Daphnia pulex: one gene and its partner. The main gene of each other region encodes a partner of the protein of the gene in region 2 in a complex. Links are inferred from orthologs where the notes say so. Each region holds a gene or a part of one and is shown on either strand. Other genes may lie near its edges.

Region 1 (4,152 bases), on a different chromosome or scaffold from region 2:
AGCTGTTACGTAGTCTGCACACAGCAGACCTTCATCGTTCGTTCGTTCGTTCGGACTTCGGCGGGAGTCATGAGAAATGACCGAGCGAAAAAAAGCCCCCCCACTGTCCCCCGTAGGGTGGTAGCCTATACGCTTTTCTCGTGAATTGATTGAGCTACGCTGTGTGGGTTCAGTGTACTCTGTACCGAAAAATATCGATGCAAAAATAAAGGGGAACACGCACGTGAAAGGTGTGTACCATTACCGTATTCCCCCTATAGCTCGTGTATTTTTACGATGCCGGTGTATACTTTAATAAATCCCATTGAAAACACACAAAGTTCTTGCCAGACTGACTGGCGCGCCTTGTACTTTCTCATCTCTTTTTCCACTTGAAAAATTTGCATTAGCGTAACGTATCATTAAAATGATAAGAGAGAGAGCTTTCGGCAAACATTTGCATAATGAGAGATTGCCACAGCTGTCTGGGTCACGTAGCAAATTATGTGAGAGGTGCAACAATGAAGACAAAAAGGGTGAAAATCGTTATGAAATTAAACACGAATAGCACATTTGTTTTTATTTAAAAACCAAGTCGAGTTATTTTGTGATTACAAGTTGCGCACATCTCCCGTGTATTCGCAAATGTCGTCGTAGTCTAGTTGGAAAACTTCATCGCGATCCGGTAGAATCTGGACGGTGGCCGTGTATCGTTCCTTGTCCCTTTCAATCACTTGGCAGACCTTTTTATTAAAAAATAAACAAGTTAACAAAAACAACATGTGTGTAAATTTCAGCTAACAACCTGTCCTTTTCGTTTGCCCTTGACGACCATGACGTAAGCGGGATCGCTACGCGGAATGACAGTTTCCAATTTAGAAATGTTGACGTTTTCCAAAAGTTTCCCGTTTTCGGCTTTGCAAATGCAATGATTCTTGGAAATCACGTCCACCACAACCATCTGGAATTCATACCAATCGGCGTGAGAGAAATTCATCTTTTATTTTTAGGACATTTTTATTTACTTTCTGTTTGTAGAATTGGCCGTCCTTGAATGAAGAATCGACGCAGCGGACTCGCAAGAGTGGGTGAAGCCAAGGTTCTCGTTTCTCGTCAGAACCTTTCGACGACCGATTTTTAGAACGAGATTCTTTCTTCTCATCACGGCGCTCCCGACTGCCACTCCGACGACTACCTTTTTTAAAATAAAAGGAAAAAATTATTATAGTGGAATTTCATTACAAACTGATTAATTAACAACGGGAAATTCTGACGGTACGGGCTGGGCGGCTGGCACGAGAACGCCAATGATAAATGTAGGAAAGCGTGACCTTGGGTAGGAGGAGCTAGACAGGACAATCTATCACTACTTACGATGGCTAGGACTATGCTTCCGTTTCTTTCTGCTCTCGCGATCATTTCTTTCCTTCTCGTTTCGCTCCTTGTCCTGTTTCGTTTTGTACTCGTCGTATTTTTCCTTGTCTGAGAATTAAAAGAAAGATGATTAATTTCAAGAAGAAATTTGGCTTGAAATAGATTTAATTTACTCAGAATCCTGGCGGAATCACGATATTCTTTAGCAGAAACTGGTTTCAGAAAGAGCTCGCTCATTTCCAATTCGTTGCTTCCGACAGCCATCCGCACCAGAGCACGACCAGTGTTTGCGTCCATGCTAAGAACCTGATGAAACAAATTTAGTTATAATTTAATGGCAGATTTTAATAGAATTTTTACTTACTTGTCCATATAAACCTTGATGTTTCCCGCTGAGCAACTGTACATTTGCACCGATAATCACTTTGAGCTCTTCTTCGCCTTCTTTTGGCTTTGTTAAAGCTTTAGCTGCATTTTCTAAAACAGTACGGTCAGCCCCAAGACCAAGTCCTTTAGGCCTAAGTTTCACCTCCATGGGAGCAGCCACTCTTGATTGAATAAAAGATAATTTGATGAGAATTCAGAACCATTAATTAATGTGAAATATGGCAATGATACCCTTTTCTAGAGAGACCGATACCCTCTGAGGCTTTCCAACCCATTCCTCTCAACATGGCCATTCCATAGGCTTCCACTGGGATCGCTTCATAATCATCAAGTGTGGACTAGAGAGAAATGTCAAGAGTTAATTACATAATTAAGGTGCAGTTGCGAAATTCAGTACCTGATCTGCACGGAGGGAAACATCTACTTTTTCATCTGTTTCAAAGCCAGATGGAACACGATTTTGCATAAATAGGGGGATATCAATGTTGGAGGGTACGCCATTGCCTCTGTTCTCCCAGCCATCAACAGCCTTCAGTGTTTCTTGCAGGATTTCTTTTTCGGCTTGCTTGTCCAAGTCTGATGCTTCTGTGTTCTCGGTTTTGGTATCACTGCCAGGGGTCCTCCACCGATTCTTTGTTATAAGAGGAATAACCAGTTCCTTTTTGGGTGCTTTTTTGATGGATCTAAATAGAATAATGCAGAAAATGAATGTAAAATTAATATTTTGTGGCGGGAAAAGCAACATACCCATTGATTTTGTTGTGCTCGACAGTTTTGACGAAATCAGTCTCTTCGCGAGTTTCTTGAGTCGTATCCAATAGTTTCGACTGAGTTAATTTCACGTTATCATGTTTCTTTTTTGAACTAAAGGCAAAAGACACACCAGGCTTGGTTTCCGACATAATGACACACGAATACGTTAATATCAAGGATTTCCTTTTCGCTCAGAAGATGTCTTTATGGAAACAACAAAAAAGGTGGGGAGACGCAAGCAGACGAACATTGAAAAATCAAATCAGACAACTGCCGTGCATTCTGCGGTGGTATTATAACTACGCGTAGCTTCTGCATAATTTTCGTGTAATTAAAATATCTAATTAATTCGCTAGGCGAAGGCGATGTTTCGTCGTTTTAATTAAATTGTCTGAAGGAAAAATTCAATTATGTTACTAGGCAACTGCAACTGATTTGATTTCATCCTGCCTGACGCTGATGCCGCCAGGCCACAGCCGCGGTTGCCTCTAGTGCCTACTTGACTTTGATTAAAATGTAACCGAGTACGTAATTAAAAGGAAATGGAGCACGAAGATGAGAAGATGATATCATGGGCTCATTTTGTAACTGCCTGTAGCGTCACGCAATGGAGATGCTCGCATCATATTGACAAAGTTGTAAGGCTTCATCAAAGAATTGAGGTCACTATATATTGATACTGATGCACGTAGACCATTGAAGTGACATAATCATGTGACACAATCAAGTATATTTATTTAATAAAATCGAACGACCGGGGCCTTGATTTTTTTGTAGGCTGGTTCCGAAATTGACCAATCGTAACCTTCGGTGTAATCTACCAGACACTCGCTAGATGTCTGCATCGGACGAGTCAAGCAGACGACAAAATAAAACTCTAGAACAAAAATATTTACGCATTTACGAGCATCGACGATATTTGTTCATTCCAAAACAACTACGTACTGCCATAGAGTGTTGGGTTTGATTTCGTCATTCACTCCTTCCTCTATGGTACTACTAACACAGTGCTGTGACATAATTCCAACCGTATGTTATTACAAAACACATTTATCCTGACCTGAAATTTATTTGTACCAAGTGTCTTGCTCCCATTTCTAGGAAAAATAGGGTTAAGGTTACTCGACAATTTGTTGCTTAACTTGGAATAGATTGGCTGTTTTCCCAAATAGTAGTTTATTTTTAAAAAAAGATTGATTTCATTTCGTTCAAGGTCTCCATGTAGCCACTGGCCCTATAAAAGGACAACCATTCGAGGTTGTATTAGTAGTAGAATAACCCCAAGAGACGATCTTTCTAGTCTGTAATTTTCCATTACGACGACGACATTTCAAATCTTTTACCAAATTCAGAAGGCCGGCAATTTAAATGTTTTAAAAGTTACCTCCAAGCGTTAAAAAAAGTCCCCGTATACAACAGGTAGTAAAAAAAGAAGAAGGGCGTCGATTTACCCTTTCTTTTCTCAATTAAAAGGGTCATTGACGTTTGTTAACCCCCCTTCGATTTAAAACGGTGAAAAAAAGAGGTCTTTTACGGTCAAGGTCATCGACTGTCGTCCGCCAAACCGAGGAACTGCGTTCGACTTGTTTGCCTTTTTCGCCAGTGCATTCTGAACAATGGTGCGACTCGTACGTCTTTTCTGCTTGTTCATCTCTTCTG
Region 2 (4,312 bases):
TAAGTTTTATAAAAAGCTCTTGTATCAATTTTTCGTTTTTAGGTTGTACTATACTCATATTTTCGAAGTTCGTGTTCATGGAGAGTGCGTATAGGTAAAAAACGTAAATAAATATATCTTTAAGATTAATTTACATGAAAGTATTTATTTAGCTCTAGAATTTAAAGAAATTGAATATGAATACAAAGCTGTTCATTTAGTGAAGGGAGGTGGTCAGCAGGTACTAAATTTTAAAATTATTAAATCATCACAATGTTCACAGTTAAACCCATATAAATAGCTAAAATACCGCTGGCATATTTTTCTATGTATTTAGAATGCTGATGACTATAAAATCATAAACCCCATGGCTCAAGTTCCATCACTAACAATTGGGGACAAAGTTTTCACTCAGTCGGTAAGAGGGACACTATATGAATATGACACTATAGATATATAAGACCTTCCAGTTCAAATTTCAATGCATAATTTTTACTTCCATCTCCTGTACATTTAGGTAGCTATTTTGGAATATTTAGAAGAATCTTATCCTTTAAAACCCTTATTGCCAAAAGATGGTGTGATTAGATTCAAAGTGAGAGAAATATGTGAAATTATTGGTTCTGGGATTCAACCCTTACAGAATTTGGCTGTACTTAAACAATTTGAAGAATCTAAACAGAAAGATTGGGCTGCTAAGTGGATTTTCAAAGGACTCACTGGTAGGTGAAGATCTTCATGAATATATCAATAAAAAAATTAATAAACTCTAAGAAATATGTGCAAAGTTTATATAAAAACCCAATTTTTTATTACAGCATTAGAAAAAATATTAGAAACTTCCAGTGGAAATTACTGTGTTGGAGATGATGTTACAATGGCTGATTGTTGCCTTATCCCACAACTGTACAATGCAAGGAGGTAAAGACTAAAGTTTCCATGATTCGTTTCATGTTCTCTTTTTCTCACGCTTCGTCTGAATAAGGTTTGATGTGGACGTGGCACAGTTTCCTAATATTGCTCGTGTGGAAAAGAATCTCGAAGTTCTTGAGCCTTTCGTAAAGGCTCACCCGAGCCGACAACCAGATTGCCCGCCTGAACTTTCAGCATGAAAATAAAACAAAAAAATTGATGTGAAATAGTCGGACTTCAGTCCATAGAATAACGATATTAAACGATGATTATAATTTGGTCGATGGGTTGCGAATACGGGAGAATGAATTGCAATGGAACTTGTTATGCTGTTTGATATTTACTGAAAAATAAACAAAATTTGCCATTATCACTTATCAGATATTTGCAATATTTATGTCTTGAAACTATAGAATAAATAGAGTGTATTCCAGTATTCCTGTAAAACTGAAACCTGAAAAGTGCTAAATCCGGTTAAAATCTTTCAAAAAACCTGTTGAAAGCTGGTAAACAATCAATCTGGCAACGTCCGATTCGTCGTCTGTTCGGTTCGTACGAGTCGCGCTCGCGCAACTGCAATCTGCAAGAAGCATCACTTGCTCGTGTCAGTTCAATACTACAGTACCAAGTGTCAGTCATAGACTCATATCTGTTAAAACCTTATTTTATTTTTTTTACAAGTGCTCATTTAAAAAGTAATCTAAAATGGATTCGGGTGGATTCGGTAAACCACAAAAACCTCCTAAAGTTGCCAAGGTTGTAATACTTAAATGTAAGAATGCTCTTGACATTACTTATAACACATTTCTCTTTAGGTTAAAAACAAAACACCGGCAGAAATTCAAATCACTGCTGAGCAGTTGCTTCGGGAAGCTAAGGAACGTGATCTTGAAATTGTTCCACCAGTAAGTGTTTCGGCAATAGATAACAACTTGAAGAACTGAAGTAAGAAATTTTCTATTTTTAGCCCCCTAAACAAAAAATTTCAGATCCCGATGAGTTAGCAGACTACCAGTACAAGAAACGCAAAACCTTTGAAGATGCTCTGCGGCGTAATCGTAATGTTATTACCAACTGGATCAAGTATGCTCAATGGGAAGAAAGCCAAAAAGAAATTCAAAGAGCCAGAAGTGTTTTTGAGCGTGCTCTTGATGTAGACCATCGTAACATTACCCTTTGGCTGAAGGTAATTAATTTTCATTTGTTAAATCTGTGAAATAATAAATATCTAATTTTAAAAAAATTTAGTATTCAGAAATGGAAATGAAAAATAAGCAAGTCAATCATGCCAGAAACTTGTGGGACCGTGCAGTTACAATTTTGCCTAGAGCAAATCAGTTTTGGTATAAATATACCTACATGGAGGAAATGCTGGCCAATATAGCTGGTTGTCGTCAAGTATTTGAAAGGTGGATGGAATGGCAGCCAGATGAACAAGCTTGGCAAACATACATCAATTTTGAATTAAGGTAAATAAATGTAGTAAATACTAACGTTACACTTATCAACGTCCAATTTTTGTCCAATAACTAGGTATAAAGAATTAGATCGTGCTCGCTCAATTTTTGAACGGTTTGTCTATGTGCACCCGGAAGTAAAAAATTGGATCAAGTATGCCAAGTTTGAAGAAAGGAACGGTTACATTATCGGTGCCCGCCAGGTGTATGAACGGTCGGTGGATTTTTATGGTGATGATCACATGGACGAAAGGCTTTTCATAGCCTTTTCCAAGTTTGAAGAGGGCCAAAAAGAACATGAACGAGCAACTGCTATTTACAAATTTGCTCTCGAACACATGTCAAAAGATAAAGCAGCAGAATTGTACAAAGCCTACACAATTCACCAGAAAAAATTTGGAGAGCGTGACGCTATAGAAGACGTTATTGTCAGTAAAAGAAAATTTCAGTATGAACAAGAAATTAAAGAAAATCCATCAAATTATGATGCATGGTTTGATTATTTACGCCTAATGGAAAGTGAAGGTATTTTGACTTACTATCAAATTTTTAAGGAATTGTGTCGAATGTGTATTGTATCTTTAGGTGACGCTGACGTTGAAGTAGTGCGAGATACATACGAAAGAGCTATTGCCAACATCCCGCTAGTAGCTGAGAAGTCCTTTTGGCGTCGTTACATCTATCTGTGGATTAACTATGCACTTTTCGAAGAACTGGAAGCCGAAGATTATGAAAAAACTCGACAGGTCTACGATTCATGTCTTAAGCTCATTCCGCATCGTAACTTCACATTCGCCAAAATGTGGCTCCTTTACGCCCATTTCGAAGTTCGACAGAAAAATCTGCAATTGGCGCGTAAAATTTTAGGTACTGCGATTGGTAAATGTCCAAAGGTAAATATGTTTCAGTATTTTTTCTTTCAAATATGAAATCTAATTAGAGGCCAGTCTATGAACCAGTTTTTAATAAATCTGGTTATTTATAGAACAAGTTGTTCCGTGGATATATTGATTTGGAGATCCAGCTGAGAGAATTTGACCGCTGCAGGACATTGTATGAAAAGTTCCTCCAAAACGGTCCAGAAAATTGCACCACTTGGATGAAATTCGCCGAACTAGAAACTTTACTGGGAGATGTGGATCGTGCTCGCGGCATTTACGAGCTTGCCATCAAGCAGCCTCTACTAGATATGCCAGAAATTCTTTGGAAGGTAAATTAAACTTTAAATATGTGCACAGATCTCATTCCTAATGGAGTTGTGTTTGTTCTTCAGGCTTACATCGATTTTGAAATCGAACAAGAGGAGAATGATAAAGCCCGATCGTTATATGAGAGACTTCTAGAACGCACGCAGCACGTAAAAGTCTGGATGAGTTTTGCTCAATTTGAGCTCACTCTAGCAGCATCTCAGCAGGAGGACCCAAGTTTGCCAGTCGCAGCAGCTAGAGCAGTCTTCCAGCGTGCAAACAAGTTCGCATTTCTTTGCTTTGAACTATTAGCCTCCGTAAATTACCTTCTTAATTCCCCATTATGTTACTAGGTCGCTACGTTCTATAGCTCAGTCAGTCGGTCTTGAAGTGGCTACCAACAAAGAGGAGCGATTGATGTTGTTGGAGGCTTGGCAAGAATTCGAATATGAATATGGAGATGAGGGATCTCGCAATGCGGTTGTTAACTTGATGCCTAGACGTGTGAAGAAGAGGAGGCGGATCCAAACACAAGATGGGGTATGTGATAATATTTTGCGTTTAGATGCAAAATTTTGTGCGTTGCAATGTTTTTTTCTTTTCTTTTTTTTTTTAGACCGATGCTGGTTGGGAAGAGTATTTCGACTACATTTTCCCCGAGGATGAAGCTACTAAACCCAATCTTAAGCTCTTGGCTATGGCCAAAGCTTGGAAAATGGCAAAAGAATCCGCTCCATCAAACCAGGAAGAGGAACTACCCAAAAGCAATGCTCCATT

What was found. The genes of interacting proteins can lie anywhere in the genome.
Region 1: crooked neck-like protein 1 (region 2) and G-patch domain and KOW motifs-containing protein-like share a complex: the UniProt entries of both Homo sapiens proteins name them as parts of the minor spliceosome. The link is inferred for Daphnia pulex from reciprocal best matches to the Homo sapiens genes CRNKL1 and GPKOW.

What each region holds. Positions count from the first base shown.
Region 1 is NC_060019.1:137,299-141,450, forward strand, and holds G-patch domain and KOW motifs-containing protein-like, read right to left. Parts: upstream 2,740-4,152; 5' UTR 2,643-2,739; coding exon 2,488-2,642; intron 2,424-2,487; coding exon 2,138-2,423; intron 2,079-2,137; coding exon 1,972-2,078; intron 1,902-1,971; coding exon 1,718-1,901; intron 1,660-1,717; coding exon 1,527-1,659; intron 1,462-1,526; coding exon 1,354-1,461; intron 1,175-1,353; coding exon 1,005-1,174; intron 941-1,004; coding exon 785-940; intron 723-784; coding exon 591-722; 3' UTR 533-590; downstream 1-532. Other genes in the region: trehalase-like, read left to right, coding at 4,110-4,152. UniProt on the Homo sapiens protein: RNA-binding protein involved in pre-mRNA splicing. As a component of the minor spliceosome, involved in the splicing of U12-type introns in pre-mRNAs.
Region 2 is NC_060026.1:11,199,255-11,203,566, reverse strand, and holds the start of crooked neck-like protein 1, read left to right. Parts: upstream 1-1,505; 5' UTR 1,506-1,596; coding exon 1,597-1,647; exon of another isoform or gene 1,648-1,650; intron 1,651-1,706; coding exon 1,707-1,796; intron 1,797-1,858; coding exon 1,859-2,077; intron 2,078-2,139; coding exon 2,140-2,360; intron 2,361-2,424; coding exon 2,425-2,873; intron 2,874-2,933; coding exon 2,934-3,241; intron 3,242-3,333; coding exon 3,334-3,558; intron 3,559-3,621; coding exon 3,622-3,818; intron 3,819-3,888; coding exon 3,889-4,075; intron 4,076-4,151; coding exon 4,152-4,312. Other genes in the region: probable maleylacetoacetate isomerase 2, read left to right, coding at 43-94, 153-220, 317-397, 497-701, 798-900, 965-1,091. UniProt on the Homo sapiens protein: Involved in pre-mRNA splicing process. As a component of the minor spliceosome, involved in the splicing of U12-type introns in pre-mRNAs.